Linked DNA regions of Diceros bicornis minor. The protein of the gene in region 2 purifies or fractionates together with the protein of the main gene of each other region. This does not show direct contact. Links are inferred from orthologs where the notes say so. Each region holds a gene or a part of one and is shown on either strand. Other genes may lie near its edges.

Region 1 (10,422 bases), on a different chromosome or scaffold from region 2:
TCCTCCTCTTTTTTTTTTTTTTGCTGAGGAAGACTGGCTCTGAGCTAACATCTATTGCCAATCCTCCTCCTTTTTTTTTTTGCCCCCAAAACCCCAGTAGATAGTTGTATGTCATAGCTGCACATCCTTCTAGTTGCTGTATGTGGGACTCGGCCTCAGCATGGCTGGAGAAGCGGTGCATCAGTGCACGCCCAGGATCTGAACCCGGGCGGCCAGTAGCGGAGCGCGTGCACTTAACCGCTAAACCACGGGGCCGGCCCTTGCCTAGTTTTCATACATGATTAGAGTATCTTTCCAAAATTCTGGAGCAGTGTCTGAACACTGCTTTCTGCTTTGCTCGTTCTGTCAGATATTGTTTGATCTGAGCCTCCCAGCCAAGGGAATGGGCCAGCTGAGAGATGCAGCTGGGTGTCAGGGTGGTGACAGCCGGGCACCACGTCTCTCTCCCGAGCCTCCCTGTGACTGATGCCCTTAAATAATTGCAACCAGCTCAGCTGCATGAATTTTTCAAAACATTGCTTAAATTCCCTAGTTCACTACAAACCTATTAGAATGGCTTAAACAAATAAAACACAACTGATTCAGCCACGTGCTTGGGGAGGAGGCTCGGGGACTGGAGACGGGTGCATTGCTGGTGGGAACGCAAAATGGTGTGGCCACCTTGGCAGTTTGGCAGTTTCTTAAGAAGGTAAACATACTCTTCCCACATGATCCAGCCATTCCACTTTTAGGTATTTACCCAAGAGAAGTGAAAACATACTCACACAAAAATCTGTTTTTGAATGTTTATAGTGGCTTTACTGACAATTGCCAAAAACTGGAAACAGCCCAAATGTGTGGGCGTGGATAAACACCCTGTGATGCGTCCACTCCACTGGCTGACCCAGCAACAAGAAGGAACAAAGCCCACCGACAAAACAGGCACGCAGCTCATGTGCGCCCCAAGGGGTGAACGGACCTGAGGACAAGCTGCGGCCGCAGGATCCCGCTTACGTGACTCCCTGGAAAAGGCACGACTTTAGTGGCAGAGCGCTGGCCCGTGGATGCCAGCATCTGGGTGGGGACAGAGGCTGATCGTGCGGTGGCACAAGGAGGACTTTGGGGGCGATGGAGGTGTTCTGCGTCTCGACTGTGGCGGTGGCTGCGTGGCGACCGTGCTTGTGAGAACTCACAGACCTGCGCGTGAGAAAGGCTGGATGTGTACCTCAAGTAAATGACCTGCCTCACTCAGCTCAGCCGAATACAAACAGCAACAGTCCGCAGTCAACAGCTCTAAAGCATAAACTACAGGTCAGTGCAGCCTAACCGTTCGCTGTATTAGAAAGGAATGATATGTATGCCAGACAGGAAAGTGTGAAAAGTCTGTAATTGTTCTAGGAGGGAAAAAACATTCACTATTAGTTGTTTTGATCATTTGGAAATGAAAAATTAAATCTCATCTTAGAAGCCAGAAGCCTCAAGTTCAAGCATCAATCGCACCACTGACCACTTGCCTGGATCTTTAAAAAGACCTAATTCTGACCGACGACTGTTTCTTCGTCTGTAAAACGACATTCAGCCGTGCCTGCCGCCTTCACGGGACGTTCTGATGATCATTCAAACGTGAGGATTTCTTTCAGGGCCTACTCTAGAGACGCAGTGTTAGTTGGTTTAACTTATTGTTTAATTTATTTCTTTACTCTTATGAGTAATGCACGTTCATGGCAAAAAAATAAAAATTCAAATGCTGTAGAAAGATGTAAAGGAAAAAGGAAAAGATCCCTCATCCTCAAAAAAAGAGAAAGAATCCCTGGTTCAGCCAATGAGCTCCTTTCCTTTTGAGCCTGACTGATCTGCTCTCTGCGGGCTCAGCACCTGGCGTCCCGGCTGCTCCTGCGTGTACCCTGCCCCTGACGACCTTGAGACTCAGCTCTGCTGTCCCACCCTGGCTTCAGGAGGAGCCACTGCCTCTCTTCCCCCCTTGGAGCATTCTGCATGTAATTCTCTGACAACAGTAGTACCAGGACCAACCACCAACACCAGCTTCTCTGTTCGAAAGGCCCCATATCCATCTATTTGCTCAGTCCTTATGACAACTCTTTACAATAGGCGCCATTGTTGTCCCCACTTTACAGATAAGGAAACCGAGGCACAGAGAGACAGTCACTTGCCAACGCCCCTCTGCTGGACTTGGACACCTGTCCTTCTCGCTCCAGGGTTCCTGCACTTGCCTGGGGTGCTGGGCGCCTCTTGCCTTCCAAACTCTGTAGAAGTCATGCTATTGTCAGAGCATGGTCCTGCAGCCACTGCCAGAGCGAGGAAAGCAGATCTGGTGCTTCTCTCTCCTCCAGCTCCTCCTGGGGAAGGCAAGGTGCTTTTCAGCCTTGTGTTTGTGCCTGGAACACACCAGGTACTCTACAGGTGTCGGTTGAGCCAGTGAGGCCGTGAGTCAGGGAGTAGAGTTTGTGCCTACCCAAAGGAATTGAAATCAGGACCCCGAAGAGCTGTCTGCACACCCATGTCCTCTGCAGCGTTATTCACGATAGCCAAGGTATGGAAACGACCTGAGTGTCCATCAGTGGAAGCACGGATAAAGACGATGTGGTATATACACATACACAATGGGATATTATCCAGCCATGAGAAACAAGGACATCCTGCCATTTGCGACGACATGGATGGACCTTGAGGACATTATGTAAAGTGAACTAAGACAAATTCTGTACGATATCAGTTATATGAAGAATCTAAAATAGTCATACCCATAGAAACAGAGAGTAGAATGGCAGTTGCCAGGGCTGGGGAGAGGGAGGAAGGGGAGCCATTAGTCAAAGGGCACGAAGTTTCCTTCACACAGGATGACTAAGTCCTGGAGAGCGACTGTCCGGCACAGAGCCTGTCGTCCATAACACTGTCCTGTTCACGTAATGTCCACTAAAAGGGTAGGTCTCACGTTAAGTGTTCTTACCACACACACAACATCATCATAATAATAACGATAACAACAATAATAACAAAGGGGTGGGTGGGAGGAAAGTCTGGGTGGTGATAAACGTGTTTATGGCCTTCACGGTGGTGATGGGTTCACGGTGGTGATGGGTTCATAGGTGCATACTTACCTCTATAAGATGGTTTAAAAAAAAAATAAGAGATGGGGCCAGCCTGGTGGCATAGCAGTTAACTTTGTGTGCTCCGCTTCAGCAGCCTGGGGTTCGCAGGTTCGGATCCTGGGTGTGGACCAACACACCACTTGTCAAGCCATGCTGTGGCGGCGTCCCATATAGAGTAGAGGAAGATGGGCACAGATGTTAGCCCAGGGCCAGTCTTCCTCAGCAAAAAAAAAAAAGAGAGAGACAGAGAGAGGATTGGCAAGAGATGTTAGCTCAGGGCTAATCATCCTCACAAAAAAAATAAATAAATAAGAGGTGATGAGAGCATCTGTACCTCCTGCTGACCCCTCCACGTGACGCATGAAAGGGCATGGGCTCCGTGCTTGGACGCTGGGCCAAGCTCTCGCTCTACTTCCCGCCCTGGGGGATCCCCCGTTGCACTCTCTCTTCTGTCACTACCACGCTCACATGGCTGCTGTGAGAGTGAGAGGGAACACCCCTCAAGCACTGACCGAGTTTCCCCCACTCCCTGCCCTGACGGCCACCAAGCAGAGGCCAGACTTCTCCAGCCACCACCAGGCTCAACTTTGAAAACACTGTGCATTCGGTTTGGAAAACCCGGAGCTGTGTGTCACCCTCAGTCTCTGCCTCGGCCTGTGATGCAAGCGCGTTCAGTCCACACTGAGACCACATCCTTCCTGCCCCTGCTGGGCTGTGACCGCTATAAATTCATCAAGTTTCCTTTCCGGCTGTTCCTGAGACCACATCTGGGTGAGTCCAGCTCCACGGAGCAGGATGACGGAAAGGGCCGGGGAATAATGGGGAGGGGTGTCGAGGGCCAGACTCGCCTTGGTTAACGGACTTGGGATTTCTTCTGCCAGCCTCCAAGTCTGTCCTCCAACAATGATTCTGGAATGTTCTTTTATGTTTATCATTTGGACTCTATGTGTGCAAGTGTTGGGGGGGTGCCGAGGACACGGGCAGCAACCACGGCTTACCCCATGACTCCAGCATTCCACCAGGGAGCGGGTGGGTGAGACGTGTGTGGGGAAATGAGGCAAAGGCCCAGAGGGGTAAGCGTCAGGGCAGAGTGCACTGGGGTTAAGGTCAGGGGAGCACAGAGAGGCGGAGTCCTGCTGTGGATGAGAGATTGATGGAGCAGGACCTGGGAGGGTCTGCAGAGCTGGTGGATCTGTCTGGAGACCCCTCGACCCCCCACCAAATACATTAGGGGGTAGACTTGGGGTTGTGCGAGGCCAGGAGTGGAGCGGCACGAGTGGCGATAGGAGAAGGAGAGATGAGTGTGGTTGAGGCGTCTCAAACGTCAGACCGTGGTCGTTATAAATTCCGCTTTGCTCCACTGCTTCACAGCGCCCCTGCCTCCTGTTAGCATCATCGGTGGCTTTGGCTGATGTGCTTTTCCAAATTCAGGAATACGAAGCACTCAAGGCCAAACAAATCCAGCGTGTTCATCTGTCCAAAACCAGTTGAAGTGGCAGACTGAAAGACACAGCAGCTTTCCACTCTCTGGGGAACTTGAAGTCCGGTTAGGAAAATGGAGTGGGGGACGCCACAGTGAGAAGCTGTGTGTGATAAACGCTTTCCTTTTAATGGTATATTCTATTGTCTTTGATCACTTTTGTTTCTATCTGACTACGATACACAGTTAAGTGGTGGAAGAAATGGTCTCCTATCTTTTCAGGCTGTGAAAAGTGCAGGGGCAGCGGCGTGGGCTCAGAAACGGATGACCCTGGTCTAAATCCTGGCTTCGCCCCTTCCTGGCTGCGAAACTCTGGGCAATTCTCTGAGCGTCTCTAAGACAGTCTCTACTTCCATAAAGCGGAGCTAGGAATAGAGGCACCTCGTAGGGCTTTGGGAGGTTAGATGAGGAAAAGCATCAGTGCAGTGCCCAGCCCACGAGAAGCTCTCCGTAAATGTCCTTTCTAATACCTATCACAATTACAGATTTTACCAGGAGACATTAAAGAGGGATATGTTTCCACTCTTCCCCCTACGCGCCCCAAGCCCCGTCTCATTTCTGTTTCCGTCAATCAGTGGATTGATAGAAGAGCAGTCGCAGAGCAGCCCCTCCTCCGCCTGCCTCAATGTTCTCCCTCTGTCTCTAGCCGTGCACTGCTCTGCTATCACCACAGTCATTCCCTGGCCTCCTTCTTTCATCCCCCATCCATCTTTCCTCGGGTCAAAACAGAAACAAGGAAGCAGAGTCTTTCAATTGGAAGGAACTTAAAGGCCATCCTTCCCACTCCGTGATTTTACAGACTTGGAAACTGAGGTGAGGGACAGTGAAGAGCTTGTCAGAGGTCATAGCCCAGTAACCAGTGGGACCAGGTGCCCCCGGCCATATGTCGAGGTGGCGCCGTGAAGCAGTGCGGGCTTCCATCATGCTGTTAATGCGGTCCAGTCTGTGGTTTTAATTATTGTTTCTCTCCACAGGGAAACTTTCTTCCATGGCTCAGGACACAGTCCTGGGCAGAGCCGGCAGGAAAGTTTCTGGTAAGTATTTGGCTCACATTTCAAAACCAAAGATGGCGACTTGTTACAGCCCAGTGATGTTTCCTCCTTGCAGTCTTCTGGGTTTTTGATAGTTTAGTTCTCTTCAGGGTGGACTTTTAAAAACACGTTCCTCACCCATATGCTGTTTTCACCACCGGACTTCCCAGTGTGGACGTATGCCCAAGCTGCCTGACCAGGGCTGCAGGAGAGCATGGCAGGCGTCCGCTGCAAGCTGGCGCGCTACCTGGAGGACCTGGAGGACGCAGACCTGAAGAAATTCAAGATGCACTTGGAAGACTATCCTCCTCAGAAGGGCACCCCGCTCCCTCGGGGTCAAACAGAGAAAGCAGATCCTGTGGATCTCGCCACCCTGATGATTGACTTCAACGGGCAGGAGAAGGCGTGGGCCATGGCAGTGTGGATTTTTGCTGCGATCAACAGGAGAGACCTCCACGAGAAAGCTAAGAGGGATGAGCCAGAGTGGGGTGAGTGGAAACAAGAAGGTATTTTTAAAATAGTGATAAAATAGATGTAGCTTAAAATTTACCGTATTTAAGTGTATGATTCAGTAGTGCTAAGCACATTCACGTTGTTGTGCAATCAATCTCCAGAACTCTTTTTCATCTTGCAAAACTCCACACCCATTAAGCAACAATTCCTCATTCGCCTCTCCCCTCAGCCCCTGGCAAACACCACTTTCTGTCTCTATGAATTTGATCATTCCGCAGACTTCTTATAAATGGAATCATAAAGTACTTGTCTTTTTCTGTCTGGCTTATTTCACTTAGTATAATATCCTCAGGCTTCATCTATGTTGTCACATGTGACAGGATTTCATTCCTTTTTAAGGCTGAATAATATTCCATGGTATGTATGTAGCACATTTTGTTATCCATCAATGGACATTCAGACTGCTTCTAGCTTTTGATTATGGTGAACAATGCTGCTATGAACATGGGTGTACAAATCTCTTTGAGACCTTGCTTTCATTTCCTTTGGGTATATTCCCAGAAGTAGAATTACTGGATTATATGGTAATTCTATGTTTCATAATATTTTCCATAGTGGCTCCACCATTTCACATTCCCACCCACAGTGTACACCCAAGGGTTCTAACTTCTCCACATCCTCGCCAACAAGTATGTTACGGGGTTTTTTTTTGGATAGTAGCCATCGTATGGGGTGTGAGATGGTATCTCATTGTGGTTTTGATTTGCATTTCCCTGATGACTAGTGACATCGAGTGTCTTTTCATGTTCTTGTTGGCCGTCTGTTTACCTTTGGAGAAATGTCTATTCAAGTCCTTTTCCCATGTTTTAATTGGGTTTTGTTGTTATTGCTGTTGACTCGTAGGAGTTCTTCACATATCCTGGATATGAACCTCTTATCAGATGTATGATCTGCAAATATTTTCTCCCATTTCGTGGGGTCCTTTTCACTCTGTTGATAGTTTCCTTTAATGTGTCAAAGCTAGTATGTTTGGTGTTTTTTTGTTTTTTGTTTTTGTGAGGAAGATCAGCCCTGAGCCAACATCTGCCAATCCTCCTCTTTTTGCTGAGGAAGACTGGCCCTGGGCTAAAATCCGTGCCCATCTTCCTCCCCTTTATGTAGGACACCGCCACAGCATGGCCTGACAAGCGGTGCGTTGGTGCGTGCCCGGATCTGAACCCTGGTCGCCAGCAGTGGAGTGCGCACAGTTAACCGCTACGCCACGGGGCCAGCCCAGTATGTTTGTTTTTTAATCAATTCTTTTATTATCTTGGCTTCATCCTCTCTCTTCTTCTCATGACGGTACTATGAGAAGATGGAGGAAAGCACTTTGCTTTTTTCTAGTTCCTTTAAAACCCCACGTCAGGGCTCATCTACCCCTAGGAACCTCCCCTGTTTAGCTTCACTTTATCTGAATCTCTCATCCAGCTCCTCATGTGTCTGTCTGCACAGCCAGCAAGCTTGAGTGTCTGCTTCCCATGGCTCAGGGGGCCAGCTCTCACCTCACAGAAAAGCCTTTCCTGTGGCCATGACTTTGGGCACTGGAATGGTGAAAGAAATTTCCTGCATCCTGTGGGCATGCTCGGGGTCACGCTCTTTCTTTTTTTTTTTTTTTTAAATTTATTTATTTAGTGTGTTTGTGCGTGTGTGAGGAAGATCAGCCCTGAGCTAACATCCACGCCAATCCTCCTCTTTTTGCTGAGGAAGACTGGCCCTGAGCTAACATCCGTGCCGATCTTCCTCCACTTTATGTGGGACGCCACCACAGCATGGCCGGAGAAGCGGTGCCTCGGTGCGCGCCCGGGATCCGAACCCAGGCCGCCAGGAGCGGAGCGCGCGCACTTAACCGCTACGCCACGGGACCGGCCCCAACACGCTCTTCCTTAAGCTTGGTGTTCTGAGCAAGGGAGGGGCACAAGGAAGGACTCAGAAGGATCTAGAACCTCAAGGATGATGATGTTGAGCTGGTGGGAAGGAGGAGTAAAAGTGCTTGGTAGCTGGGGAGAAGCATGATGAGGCGGGAAGGCAACGTGGGTATGAAGAAGGGGAGAAAAATGCCCAGGACCCGAGGCAGGGGCGCACGGCAGTGGGGTGCTCTGGAGAAACTGCTGTAATAGTACAACCATAACTGCGTCAGCGCCTGCTACTCACCAACCACAGTCAAGGGTGACGGTTGTGGTTGCAGAAGTCGTTTGCAGGCAGTTTCGTGGATTTTGTTCATTCCTCACACAAACCCCATGAGGCCGGCACTTTCAGATGAACTTTTGCCTTCACTGTGTAAGTGCAGCAAGCCATTTTGTTTTGTGATTGGGTTACCAATACCATTTGCCCGCAGAATAAGTAGACACCTACCAGGAGTCCTTTATGTCGTTCTTGGTCTCCTGCCCTCCTCAGGTTCTCTGCCCATGTGTTTCCCCTGTGCCAACTCTTGTCCTACCATGCCTAAATTTCTCCTGTGGACGCCTCTTTGGAATATGTGATTTCGTGATTGTTTACATCTGTGATGCTCAACTGTGGATGCATGTTGGAGCTTTTAAAACTTAGTGGTGCCTGGGCCCCACCTCTTAAAGCTTCTTAATGTCAGCCAGGATTCTGAACCGCTGAGTTAGACACAGATTCTCACTTTGGGAGACCCAGAATGTGGGTAAGATGAATTCCAGGCGTTTGAGGTCAGGGAAGGATGCTCCCGCTGGCCCGTGGCCATCTTGGGGATATTGCAGAGCGTGGGGAGGGCCTCAAAACCAGAACCCCAGCAGGGTGGGGTGGTGAGGGGAGTCTCCCAAAGACAAAGGAGGTGAGGGAAGCCTTGCCTGCCAGTGATTTCCAGGCCTGGGGGAGCGATTCCTCAACTTGATAAGAGGGGCCACAATGCTGGCTGGGTGGGTGACATCCACTGCTTTGAAATTAGGATGGCAGGGACACCCTCAGCTGGTGTTCACCTGCCCTCCTGTCAGCCACAGCTCTGAGCCGTGTGCTGGTTGGGAGGGGTCCAGCCAGGAGCTCTGACCTGTGCCCGGTGTTGGGTATTGGGTCTCAATCACATCACCTTAGTCAGGAGTCCTGGGTTTTGACATTTTGTATCTTTTTCCTTTTATTTTCAGATCATTCGCATGTGATATGCCAAGAAGAAAGTGTTGAAGAGGAATGGATAGGTTTACTGGGGTACCTCTCCAGAATCTCTATTTGTAAAAAAAAGAAAGGTAAGCCATGAGGGTGGGAGTTCCAGTTGGGTTTGGAGACCCAGTTTGGGAGGCACTGGGGAGCTGGGGAGCTTGGTCAGCCTGCACGCTCCTGCTTCTCAGGATACAGAGGCCCATCTCAGGACATCCACGACAGCTGAAGGAAGGGCCCATGTTCGCGGGGCTCCTTGTAGTCCCGGAACCAAGGGGAGGCGATTGGGACCGAGTGCTGCAGGTTTTAAAAGGCGTGGGCTGCAGACCACCTCAAGGAGTAATGATGAATAAAAAGGGTTTTCTGGGGGCCGGCCCGGTGCGCGCGCTCCGCTGCGGCGGCCCGGGGTTCGCTGGTTCGGATCCCGGGCGCGCACCGATGCACTGCTTGGTAAGCCATGCTGTGGCGGCGTCCCATATAAAGTGAAGGAAGATAGGCACCGATGTTAGCCCAGGGCCGTCTTCCTCAGCAAAAAAGGAGGAGGATTGGCGGATGTTAGCTCAGGGCTGATCTCCTCACAAAAGAAAAAAAAAAGGGTTTTCTGGCCAGGGCAGCACGTACGGCACTTCGCTGCTCTTCTGCTCAGCTGTGTATAGATAGGAAGAGTCTAACATCCTAGATTTCTGGGGCCACCTGTACCCAAGCAGTGGAGAGAAACTGCACCTCCCATTTTGTAGTTTCAGTCACCACTCCCTGCCAACCACAGGCCCCTGTGACAGATCATCTCTGGTGGACGTGTTTGGGCTTCTCCCAAAGTCTAACCTTCTGTGTCTACTGCAGATTACTGTAAGAAGTACAGAAAGCACGTGAGAAGCAGGTTCCAGTGCATCAAAGACAGGAATGCCCGTCTGGGCGAGAGCGTGAACCTCAACAAACGCTACACCAGGCTGTGTCTCGTCAAGGAGCACCGCAGCCAGCAGGAGAGGGAGCACGAGCTCCTGGCCATCGGCAGGACCTCGGCCAAGACGCGGGACTGCCCCATGAGTTCCATGAACCTGGAGTTGCTGTTCGAGCCCGACGACCAGCACTCGGAGCCCGTGCACACGGTGGTATTCCAGGGAGCAGCGGGCATTGGGAAAACGATCCTGGCCAGGAAGATCATGTTGGACTGGGCGTCCGAGAAACTTTATCGAAACAGGTTTGACTACTTGTTCTATAT
Region 2 (10,422 bases):
ATAAAAACAAGAACCCTCACAAAGCATTCTAGAGACAAGAAGTCTAGATTAAGTAGTAGGAATCGTGGGTTTGGAGAGTGGCTCCAGCAGTTACTAGCTGTTTGGCCCAGGGCAAGTCACTTAACTAAAATAAGGGAACTGGTTTTAGGAAAATGACTGCTCGAGTCACCTTTAACTCTAAAATTTTATGAGTCTTGCCCTGAATCCTTTACAGTGAAGATCAAACAAGATATGGTGTGTTAAAGCACCGAAACGCAGGACAACACATTAGAAAGAGTACATACTTTAGATAGACAGACCTGGGTTCAAGATCTTGCTGTAGTGACAAAATCTGTGACCTCAGGCAAATTACTTAACCCTCTGAGCTTGACTTAATCAACCCTGAGTCACAAGGTTATTGTGAGAATTAAATGAAATAATCTAACCATTTTTAAATCCTTTCTGGAACAAGATGACAGATAAATTTTAAAATATCATTGAGATAACTATGTAAAAGACTTTGGTCCATTACAGGGGCTCAATAAATGACAAAAAAGTCACTTTGAACTCTAAGATGCTATACAATTATTAATATATTCTTATTTATCTATGACTTGGAGGCATACACACAGTTGAGCAGTCTCAAATTTCCCACTCTCTTTTCGACCTTTATTCGCCTCTAAACTAATATTCCCTAGGGAAAAATGGGAACTGGCTGATGGATAACGGTAAACGGAAATTTACAGAGTGAAGGTGACAGAAGAGATTAAAAGGACAAAGAAAGGGGTTTGTTTTGCGTTAGGAACTACGAGTCTTTAGAGTTTTAAATGTCTTCAGGCCACAGGTTAAGGAAAAGAGAAATGCAACAGAGTGCTGAGGGTACTTCCCTCCCTGAAAGCTTTGGCTTTACTCAATCAACTCCAGTACAGCAAACAATCACCACTTGGTTTCCTACTGGCACTGGAATTGAAGAGGGTGGGGAAGGAGCAGATAAAGATGACCAAACCTGCAAAACTCCTGGACTTAGCCCTACTTTGTTGTTCCTCCTGGGCCTGCCTTTTTCCCCCCCTGCACCCCACAAGTGCTTGTACACTGTTTTCAGAACAGGAATTCACAAGATTTTTTCTTCCTTCCAATAAGGAACTGAGAAAGAAAAATCGGGACAGATTTTTATCAGCATACTGGGGTATAAGGTGAAAGGTTGTAAACAACTCTGTCCAGGAGGGCTCCATTTCAGAACATGCTTTGGCTATAGGCCTGACAGTCAGCTGCTTGCTGCCAAAGCTAAATAGCTTTTTGGCATTTAAGGGAACCCAGGCACAACACAGAGCAAACAAGTGGTCTCTACTGAGTTCTGCAAAAGGGGAAAGAAAGAAGAAACGGGAGCCCATAAGAGGAACTTACAGCAAAAGAGAATTGTATTAAGATTTTTAAAAACTCAAAAATTCAGCCCTTCATAGATATGCCCAAATAAATATCAGCATTCCCTTTTCTCAAATACATCCTTAATACCACCTTGACCTATGACAACCCAACTCTCCCCCATCCCCTCAAAATTTATGTAGTTACATATCAACACTGTTTAACAATATTGATTCATGTATTTCTTTGTAAACACTGATGTTTCATATTTATGTACACTTTCATACTCATCAAACTAAAGGTCTCCCGGAAGCCACAATTTGAATTTTTAAAATGACTTTAGTGCGAGTCCCACCTTCCCTGCTCCCGATAATTCAATCAATATTGTTGACCGACTGAAAACAACTCAGCCCTTGTCAGTGAACTTTCTAGAACAGGGTGCCACCTCAAACCCACACACCCTAAGGATCAACATGTTCCCCTTTTTGTTCCTGGGGATTGGTGCTGTTTGTGTGTGTTTTCCAACAGTCTTAATGCCTGTTTCTTGAGCTTGCTTAATATTGGGGTTGAGTTGTAACTTGTTAGCCTTACCTTAGCAATCTACTTAGGGTGTACCAGGAAGGAAAAAGGATCCTTAACAGCAATTAATAGCCCTCTTTTTGCTGAGAGAGTAGGATTTCTGTATATTCTAACGCTTCTATTCACTTCCCCATCTCAATCTTGGGGACATTATCTTCCTCTTTCCAGCACAAGAAATGAAGTAATAAGCTCCTGATATCCCAAAACAGACATGGGAGGGAACCAGGAACCAAAGAAAAGGGGGAAGAATCCCAGTATCTCTGCATACAAGTTTTTATTGCATTTATGAATAATTTCTCAGGAGTCAGCTCCTAAGGCATCTCACTGCCAGCTCAGGACCAACCCATCTGACAACCAAACGACAGCAAGAAAGAGAAGTCAGGGTCTCTTTTAGCTTGAACGTACAGTGTTCTCACGACCCTTTTGTCTTCTTTCCTTTCTTACCGATTTTTAAACAACTTAAGAAAAAACTTTTAAAAGATAAGGAAATTCTTCCTTCAAACAGGAATACAGCCATCTCTTCACTGATACTTTGGTTATAAACAAGAGCACCTTCCCGCTCTTAACTAACTTGAAGACTGTGAGGAGTGTGGGCAACAGTTTTAGGGATGTACCTTTGATTTGGTGAGTTGAAGACGAGATGAAGACGACAGAATGGGAAGTAACTCAGGAAGAAAGTGGAAAGAGTGAAGCATCCTTTTTTTTCCCTCTCCTTTCCTGAAGAAGCAGGGAAGGAGTGAGAGAGAATCAGAGCCTCAAGAACACACCTTCCTAAAGAGGTAATGAGGCAACTGGGAGAACACAGTGTTCCCCAACTTTGCAGGTGGAAACTGAAGACATGAGGGGATAAGCAACAGGATGTGAAGACGCCCTTACTATTTCCGTTCCAGAGAACAGAACACAGGGTACGGGAGCTGAGGAACAGCACAGGCACACAGTCCCGGACAAAGGGAGGGAGAAGGCCGACCAGTCCCACATACTCGCTTTCCAATGAGGACAGAAGAGAGATTTAAAATTTGTGACAAATTCTCCTTTCCTTTACAGACAGCAGTTCTGTTTGTTTAATAGAGATGCGGGGCGAGAGAAGGAAAAAGGGGCTCTTCCTGAACAGTAACGCCAGCACTCCCTGTCCTCCACTCCAATCCTTAAGTATTCTTGGGGCTGTGGGATTGTTTTTCACACGACTTGCGACTTCTGAGCCGGAAATAAACGGTCGCCTCTAAATGAAGTGCTCTGGCTAAGGCTCCGCACGAAATTCCCTCATAAGCACATTTCCTTTTACCTCAAAACACCGCTCCCAGCCCAAAATCATCCGCACCCGCCCTTCGACAGCCACGGGCCCTGAATAAATGTTAGGGTCAGCGACACCCCCACCTCCTTCCGGCCGCAGGCAAGCCGCGCCGAAGCCCCTCCACCCCCTCCCCACCCCCTCCTCACCCCCTCCTCCCTGCGAGGCAGCGCGGCATAACAACCTCTTTCCCCCGCGCCAAGAGCACACCGTGTCCACGCGCCACTGCGACCTCGCTGATTGGTTCAGCTACTGGTAAACAAGGACCAGGCAGCCAATGGGAGGGCTGTGCACGAGGGCAGCACGAGCCTCCCGGCCAGCACTCGCGTGGCCCTGCCTGCCTGGGCTACTATATAGAGCAGTTTCCGGCTCTCGATTTAAACTATCCTTCTGTCTCTGTGGCTGGAGTGCTGTTAGTTCTTCCGCCGAGATCCGGCGCTCCCTCCAGCTGTTGGAGGAAAGAAAAGAGAGATCCTATTTTTCTCTTGAAATCCCTTGGCATAGCAAGCAGCTTACATTGTTTGGACATCTTTTCAAAAATTTAGTAGAGAATTGAGTGAAGTAATCTTAATTTATTGCAAAGGGGTTTTGTTTTTCCCCATTTCTAACTCTTGAGCCAACCCAGCCCCATCATGGTGATGTTCAAGAAGATGAAGTCTTTCGAGGTGGTCTTTAACGACCCTGAAAAGGTGTTCGGCAGTGGGGAGAAGGTGGCTGGCCGGGTGATAGTGGAGGTATGTGAAGTCACTCGAGTGAAAGCTGTCAGGATCCTGGCTTGCGGAGTGGCCAAAGTCCTCTGGATGCAAGGATCCCAGCAGTGCAAACAGGCTTTGGAGTACCTGCGCTACGAAGACACGCTTCTGCTGGAAGACCAGCCAGCAGGTGAGTGGCCCAGTTATTTGCTGGAGGGTGACAGCTGACTTGAGACGAGAATTGAAACGAATAAGTGGAGCCTGTACTAAATATTATAAGTTGCTTAGGTTGAGTGGTTTGAATTTTGTGTTACCTTATCTTTTTTAGTTTTAATTTGCAAATCCCCCCACCTCCCCAAAATAAAAGGTTGATTTGTACAATTTCTTACTGGTGCTGTGTTCTGAAGGTGATTCTGAGGGATGTTGCCTTAGCTATTTAAAGATTTTCTGTATGCATAAGTTGCTTATTCTTTGCTTGCTTCCTGTTTGAGATGTTAGTAGATTAACTGTCCTGGTTGAGTCATTCAGTATTGCAGGGCTTTGCAACTTGTTGTCCAACAAAATGCCTCAGAATCTCTCCTATAAGAACATAAGAGATGAAAATGGGGGTACTGCAACACTTTTTGCTTGCTGCCCAAGAATTCCTTATCACACAGATGCGTTTTCAGTGTAACAAGAAACCTAAGGGCTACTTGCTTTTGTCTCCTTTCAGGTGAGAATGAGATGGTGATCATGAGACCTGGAAACATATATGAGTACAAGTTCGGCTTTGAGCTTCCTCAAGGGTAGGTATCAGCTAAATGCATCTTTGGACTTTTCTGTCTCTAAAAATTTTCCCTTCCTTTGAGGAGATCACTTACTGTTCTGGGAGAGCATTTTTGAATTGTTTCCTTTTTCTTGACACAGGCCTCTAGGAACATCCTTCAAAGGAAAGTATGGGTGTGTAGACTACTGGGTGAAGGCTTTTCTTGATCGCCCCAGCCAGCCAACTCAAGAGACAAAGAAAAGCTTTGAAGTGATGGATCTAGTGGATGTCAATACTCCTGATTTAATGGTGAGGTTTAAGATTCTATTCTCCTGGGTCTCAGGGATGATAAGTCAAATGTCTTGGGCATTAGATTGAAGCACCTCAGGGAATCAAATCCTGTCATGAAGGTGGGAGGGAAAGCTGCCTACTCTAGGTAAGGAGTGGAAAGGAAAAAGAGAAAGGATCTCTAGAAATTCTCAAAATGTCTGTCCCACCCTTCTACATAGGCACCTGTGTCTGCTAAAAAGGAAAAGAAAGTTTCCTGCATGTTCATTCCTGATGGACGAGTGTCTGTCTCTGCCAGAATTGACAGAAAAGGATTTTGTGAAGGTAAAAACCTAGGGCTTAAAATGGTAGACTGATAAAACAGGAATGTGGGCTTGGAGGTGGGGTGAGGACAGGGGACAGGAACAGAAGAAAAGTCATTAGCCATACTGAGCGTTAGTTTTCATCTTTGTCATTGCTAGGTGATGAGATTGCCATCCATGCTGACTTTGAGAATACATGTTCCCGCATTGTGATCCCCAAAGCTGCCATTGTAGCCCGCCATACTTACCTTGCCAATGGCCAAACCAAGGTATTGACACAGAAGTTGTCATCAGTCAGAGGCAATCATATTATCTCAGGAACCTGTGCGTCATGGCGTGGCAAGAGCCTTCGGGTGCAGAAGATCAGGCCTTCTATCCTGGGCTGCAACATCCTTCGAGTTGAATATTCCTTACTGGTGAGTGAGTGGGGTTGGAGAGAGAAATTGTTCATCTGTCAAAATAACAGTGGTGTTTTCTCCAGACCTCTAGTCTAACAAAGTGCCATCTTTTTTTCTAGATCTATGTTAGTGTCCCTGGCTCCAAGAAGGTCATTCTTGACCTGCCCCTGGTAATTGGCAGCAGGTCAGGTCTGAGCAGCCGGTCGTCCAGCATGGCCAGCCAAACCAGCTCTGAGATGAGTTGGGTAGATCTCAACATCCCTGATACCCCAGAAGGTGAGCCAGACCTACGGTCTTTTCTTCTCCTCTGGCCTGTTTGGGTTTGTAAAATTGTGGTGGTCAGGTATTTCTTGGCCATGCTTCTTATCCCCATACTTTCTCTCTCTAGCTCCTCCTTGCTATATGGATATCATTCCTGAAGATCACCGATTGGAGAGCCCCACCACTCCTCTGCTAGATGACACAGATAGTTGCCAAGACAGCCCTATTTTTATGTATGCTCCTGAGTTCCAGTTCATGCCACCACCTACTTATACTGAGGTGAGAATTGTCATTTTACCACTATATTTGTCCGAAGCCTTCTATAGGAAGTTGAATTGAAGGAATTGCTAAACTGAGTTGTTGTTTTCCTTCTTACCCAAACTAAAATGGTCTTTTCTTTTTCCTCTCAGGTGGATCCTTGCATTCTAAACAACAATGTGCAGTGAGCATATGGAAGAAAAGAAGCAGCTGTACCTACTTGTTTCTTTCTGCCTCGCTTCCTGGACTCTTATTTTTTCAGAGACTCAGTGGTCTCTACAGTGGGCTATAGGTCCACTCTAGCCTCTGACTCCCCAATGTTAGGAGGTGATCAGCAGGCAATCTCCTGGGCCTTAAAGGGTGCACACTCGTTCTCAGCCAACAAGATGTTGTGATACAGGAGTGTTTGCTGGATGGGTTTAAAATCACACTAGACAAACTCAGGCCCATCCTGTTTTCTCAGATCTTGAAAATTGCGGCATTTTCAGTAGTTTTGAATAAGGGGTAGAAATAGCCTCCTGGCATGGTTTTCCCAAGGTTTTTTGAAGGGGATTACAGATGGTTATAACAGTATTAGATCTTGAACTTATGTGCCATGTGGAGCAGAGCTAATTTAGCAAACTAGGAAAATGAAAAAAAAGTGATGGCCAAAATTTTGGGAAAAGGAGATTCTTAAAATCATTGTTGCCCTTTGTTTCTATACTTATAGAAAAAAAAAAGAAATACTCTCCAGAGCTGATTTGGTTTGGACTTTGGAGAGAGCTTCCCATGTGAATTAAAGGGAAGAAAGGTTATCTTTGCTTAAAATGTACTTCAATTTGGCTTAAAGCAGTAGTAACTGTGCCCCGTGAAAGGTCTTAAAAGCCATTTTTAGAGCCGATTGCACTGTGTTCTCCTGTTGCGAACATTTTTCATGTGGGAGAATGTTTTTCTTTTCATGTGACTCCTTGGAATTGATTCTGAGGTGATGTTCTTAGCACTTTAGTTCCTGTCAAACTTTTTGGGTTTTTTTCCCCTCATACGTAAGCTAAAACTGGTCTACTACGTCTCTAGGGGTAAGCACAATGACAAAAAAAAAGTGTTACTCTATTTTTGAGACTTCGTCCCAGTGTACAGAATTCTGTTCTGACACTATAATTATATGAGAAGAGTTGCTGCTATCATCCTTGCCCACTGTGACTTCTCCAAACTCAAGGAGGCACTCTAGATCAAGATGCCCCAACACGATGAACTCTAGATCAAGATGCCCCAACACAGTGATCAGAGCCTCCAGACATTGCCATGAGAAACTAGAGGGCAGGTCTTCACAAAAGCCCCCAGGGCTCCCTTCCTGCCCACTATTAGAGACAGGGATGTTGACAGCCCCTCTCTCACTGCAGCCGCTAGCACTTGGTCACCCTCAGCCTTAGCACTTTGTTCACTGTCCTGTGTCAGAGCACTCCGCTCTCCACCCTTTTTTTGAGAAAGTATGTGGACTGAAGGTGGTTTTATTTTTTTTAATTGTGTATCTTTTTGTATGATAAAAACTATATTTTGTACTTAACCAGATATATTTTCACCCCAGGTGGGGGTATTCTTTGTAAAAAAATAAAAAAAGTTTTTTTAATGGCAAAACTGCTTGTTTTCTTTTCTGTGAAATGGTGTTGGAGAAATTATTAGAAAGTGTGCCTAAAGGAGCTTTACCCCTACTTGACCAATTCATGTTCTTGAAAACTCGGTAGAGAACATTCCTTGTTGACTAATGAATATAGTCAGAGTGGAGGTTGGAGGGGTGAAGAGGGAAGGAATTTGAAGTACGTTTAGTCTTTTCTTCCAATTCACTAAAAACCTATAGTGGGGCGGGGGAGTGGGCAGGGCCGGCCCGGTGGCATAGTGGTTATGTTCTTGCGCTCGGCTTCGGTGGCCCAGGGTTCACAGGTTCTGATCACCGGCAAGGACAGAGGCACCAACTACCAAACCATGCTGTGGGGGCGTCCCGTATAAAGTAAACGAAGATGGGCACAGATGTTAGCCCAGAGCCAATCTTCCTCAGCAGAGAAGAGAAGGATTGGCAACAGATGTTAGCTGAGAGCTAATCTTCCTCTCACACACACAAAAAACTGCAATGGGATCTTCTGGTGGTCTAAGCTAGTTTTCTACATCCATCACTTATCATTACTAAATTGTTTGAAGTTTGGAGTGTGTAAGGTTTTTTTTTTTAAGGAGCTCTTGAAATACAAGGAAATGAGGTTTCTGGGGAGATTTGGAAGGAAAGGGTTTTGGTTCCATATTTTATAATTTGGTTTTATCATAAGAGTTTTTTCCTAGTGTAAACTTTGTTTATATGCAATAAGACATAAGATGATAATTATTCAGGTGTTATGGATTTAGAGTTACAAGTATTAAATTCTTTGAAGGCAATCTATCATTTTTTATCTTAGCAGTTCTGAGCACAGTTCCTATCCAAGCACATAATCATACTCAGTAAAGGTTTGCTAAATATCCAACCCCACCCTCATCTCTGAGGATATGCTTTAGCAGTTTGTATTTCTTCCTTGTAGAGTAATAACAATAGATTGATACCACAATTCCCTCTCTAATTGAAATGATTTTTATTATTCCTAAAAGAGTGACTAGGATGAGAAACCCTGAGATGGCAGAAGTTAATATACTTTCTGATTTCTGGCTCATTTAAACCTTTGCAGACAGATCTAGTTCTGGCCCTTATTTGATGGGGTCAGTTTTCCTATGGACCTCCACTCCAAACAGGCTCTTGGGAAGTTCATAAAATCAACATGAATTGAACAGAAAGATTGAAAAGCTTCTTTTCCGCTTCAATCTTCCCTTTGTTGTGTCTTTTCCTTCATTCTCAGTAGCTTGTTTGCTCTCTCCTGGTTCTCCTTTTTTCTTTCTCAAGGTGTCAGTCTCTAGATCTCAGTTGCCATGGTGACTCTTACCTCTGCCGTCTCCTTTTCTTCCTACCTGTTCAAGAATTTAGTAGCTCCTCCCTTTTTTGAATCTGTGACCAGGAAACTAGGTCAAAGTTGATGGAAAAGTTTTTTCTGCAGCTTGTTTTCCAGGGACTGGAAGGGTGGAGCAAGGACAAGAGCAGGCCAGAGGGAAGGACAAAGGGATGGAGAGACCATGGAACACATAAGCCTGGCCGTTTGTGTACACAGCCTGGCTACTGGTACGAGATATGAGAAGGAGATGGTGTGGAAAGAGTAGATAAACTTCACCCAAGGTCTGTTAGAGATTTGATCCTCAAGGGGCCAGAACATGTGCAGCCCCTCCTGATACCCTAATACCTCATATTGAGCAGTGTCCAATAGAACTTTCTATGATGATGGAAATGTTCTATATTTGCACTAATACAGTAGCCAGTAGCCACTAGCCACACATAGCTATTGAGCTCTGAAATGTGGCTACTGTGACTGATGAACTGAATTTTTATTTCTAATTTAATTAAATTTACCTAGCTTCATGTGACTAGTGACTACCATATTGAACAGCACAGCGAAATCTGAGGAAGGAAGTGAGCAGCTATAGCTATTCACTCAGAGGAAACTCATCCGTCCCTTAGAGCACAAAAGGCTCCACTCAACTTTCTTTTGCCTTCTAGACGCAACTTCTACCTCACCCCAGGACATTTTCTGCATGTAGGCTCGCTTAAGTACACTTCCCTAGGTACTGGCCCAGCTGTTTCTCCACTTAAGTGGGTTGATATTTTGGGTTTTCCTTTCTCATGCTCTTCTCATATGCCTTTTAAGGTTTAAAGAGTTATAACCTACATGTACAGCCATTAGAGAAGATCTAGTTCTTAGTGTCATTTATTCATTAGGTCCAATCTGGTATAGGAATATCTGAGAGAAGACAGAAAGAAAACTATCTAAAGAGATAAAAGAGCTAGAGAAAGTAAAATTAACAAGAAAAGGGCAGCTACTTCCACAACCAGGGTCCTTGGCTACTATGATACCTCTGAACAGGCTGGAAACACAAGGATGTAACTCGGGTTGAGGCATTGGGAGGGAAAAGTGTGGAGGGAGGATTTAACCAGGCCTCTGGTCAACAAAAACCCATCACATAGGAACTGAGGAGTATGAAGCGGGGTGAAGGAGCGGCTTTTGCCCAGTTCTTTCAACAGCATACAGACTCCTTCCTAGCCTTCTTTCCTTGGACTATCTCTAGGTGATGGAATGCATCAGGAAAATATTTTACTGACCCTCCAATGGTCCAGTCCCTGTCCCAAGCACCCTGACCTCAATTGTTCTGGACTGGGAGAGCAGAAACT

Evidence for each region. Proteins that work in one complex are often made in the same cells at the same time.
Region 1: the proteins of TXNIP (region 2) and NLRP3 purify together in Homo sapiens (affinity purification with western blotting, with the first as the bait; 4 studies listed by BioGRID). This does not show direct contact. The link is inferred for Diceros bicornis minor from reciprocal best matches to the Homo sapiens genes TXNIP and NLRP3.

The regions. Positions count from the first base shown.
Region 1 is NC_080740.1:932,816-943,237, forward strand, and holds the start of NLRP3 (NACHT, LRR and PYD domains-containing protein 3), read left to right. Parts: upstream 1-3,806; 5' UTR 3,807-3,860; intron 3,861-5,543; 5' UTR 5,544-5,603; exon of another isoform or gene 5,604-5,770; 5' UTR 5,771-5,814; coding exon 5,815-6,088; intron 6,089-9,193; coding exon 9,194-9,292; intron 9,293-10,043; coding exon 10,044-10,422. UniProt on the Homo sapiens protein: Sensor component of the NLRP3 inflammasome, which mediates inflammasome activation in response to defects in membrane integrity, leading to secretion of inflammatory cytokines IL1B and IL18 and pyroptosis.
Region 2 is NC_080743.1:53,490,463-53,500,884, reverse strand, and holds TXNIP (thioredoxin-interacting protein), read left to right. Parts: upstream 1-3,609; 5' UTR 3,610-3,840; coding exon 3,841-4,090; intron 4,091-4,612; coding exon 4,613-4,685; intron 4,686-4,806; coding exon 4,807-4,954; intron 4,955-5,154; coding exon 5,155-5,257; intron 5,258-5,394; coding exon 5,395-5,651; intron 5,652-5,752; coding exon 5,753-5,909; intron 5,910-6,021; coding exon 6,022-6,173; intron 6,174-6,304; coding exon 6,305-6,340; 3' UTR 6,341-7,766; downstream 7,767-10,422. UniProt on the Homo sapiens protein: May act as an oxidative stress mediator by inhibiting thioredoxin activity or by limiting its bioavailability.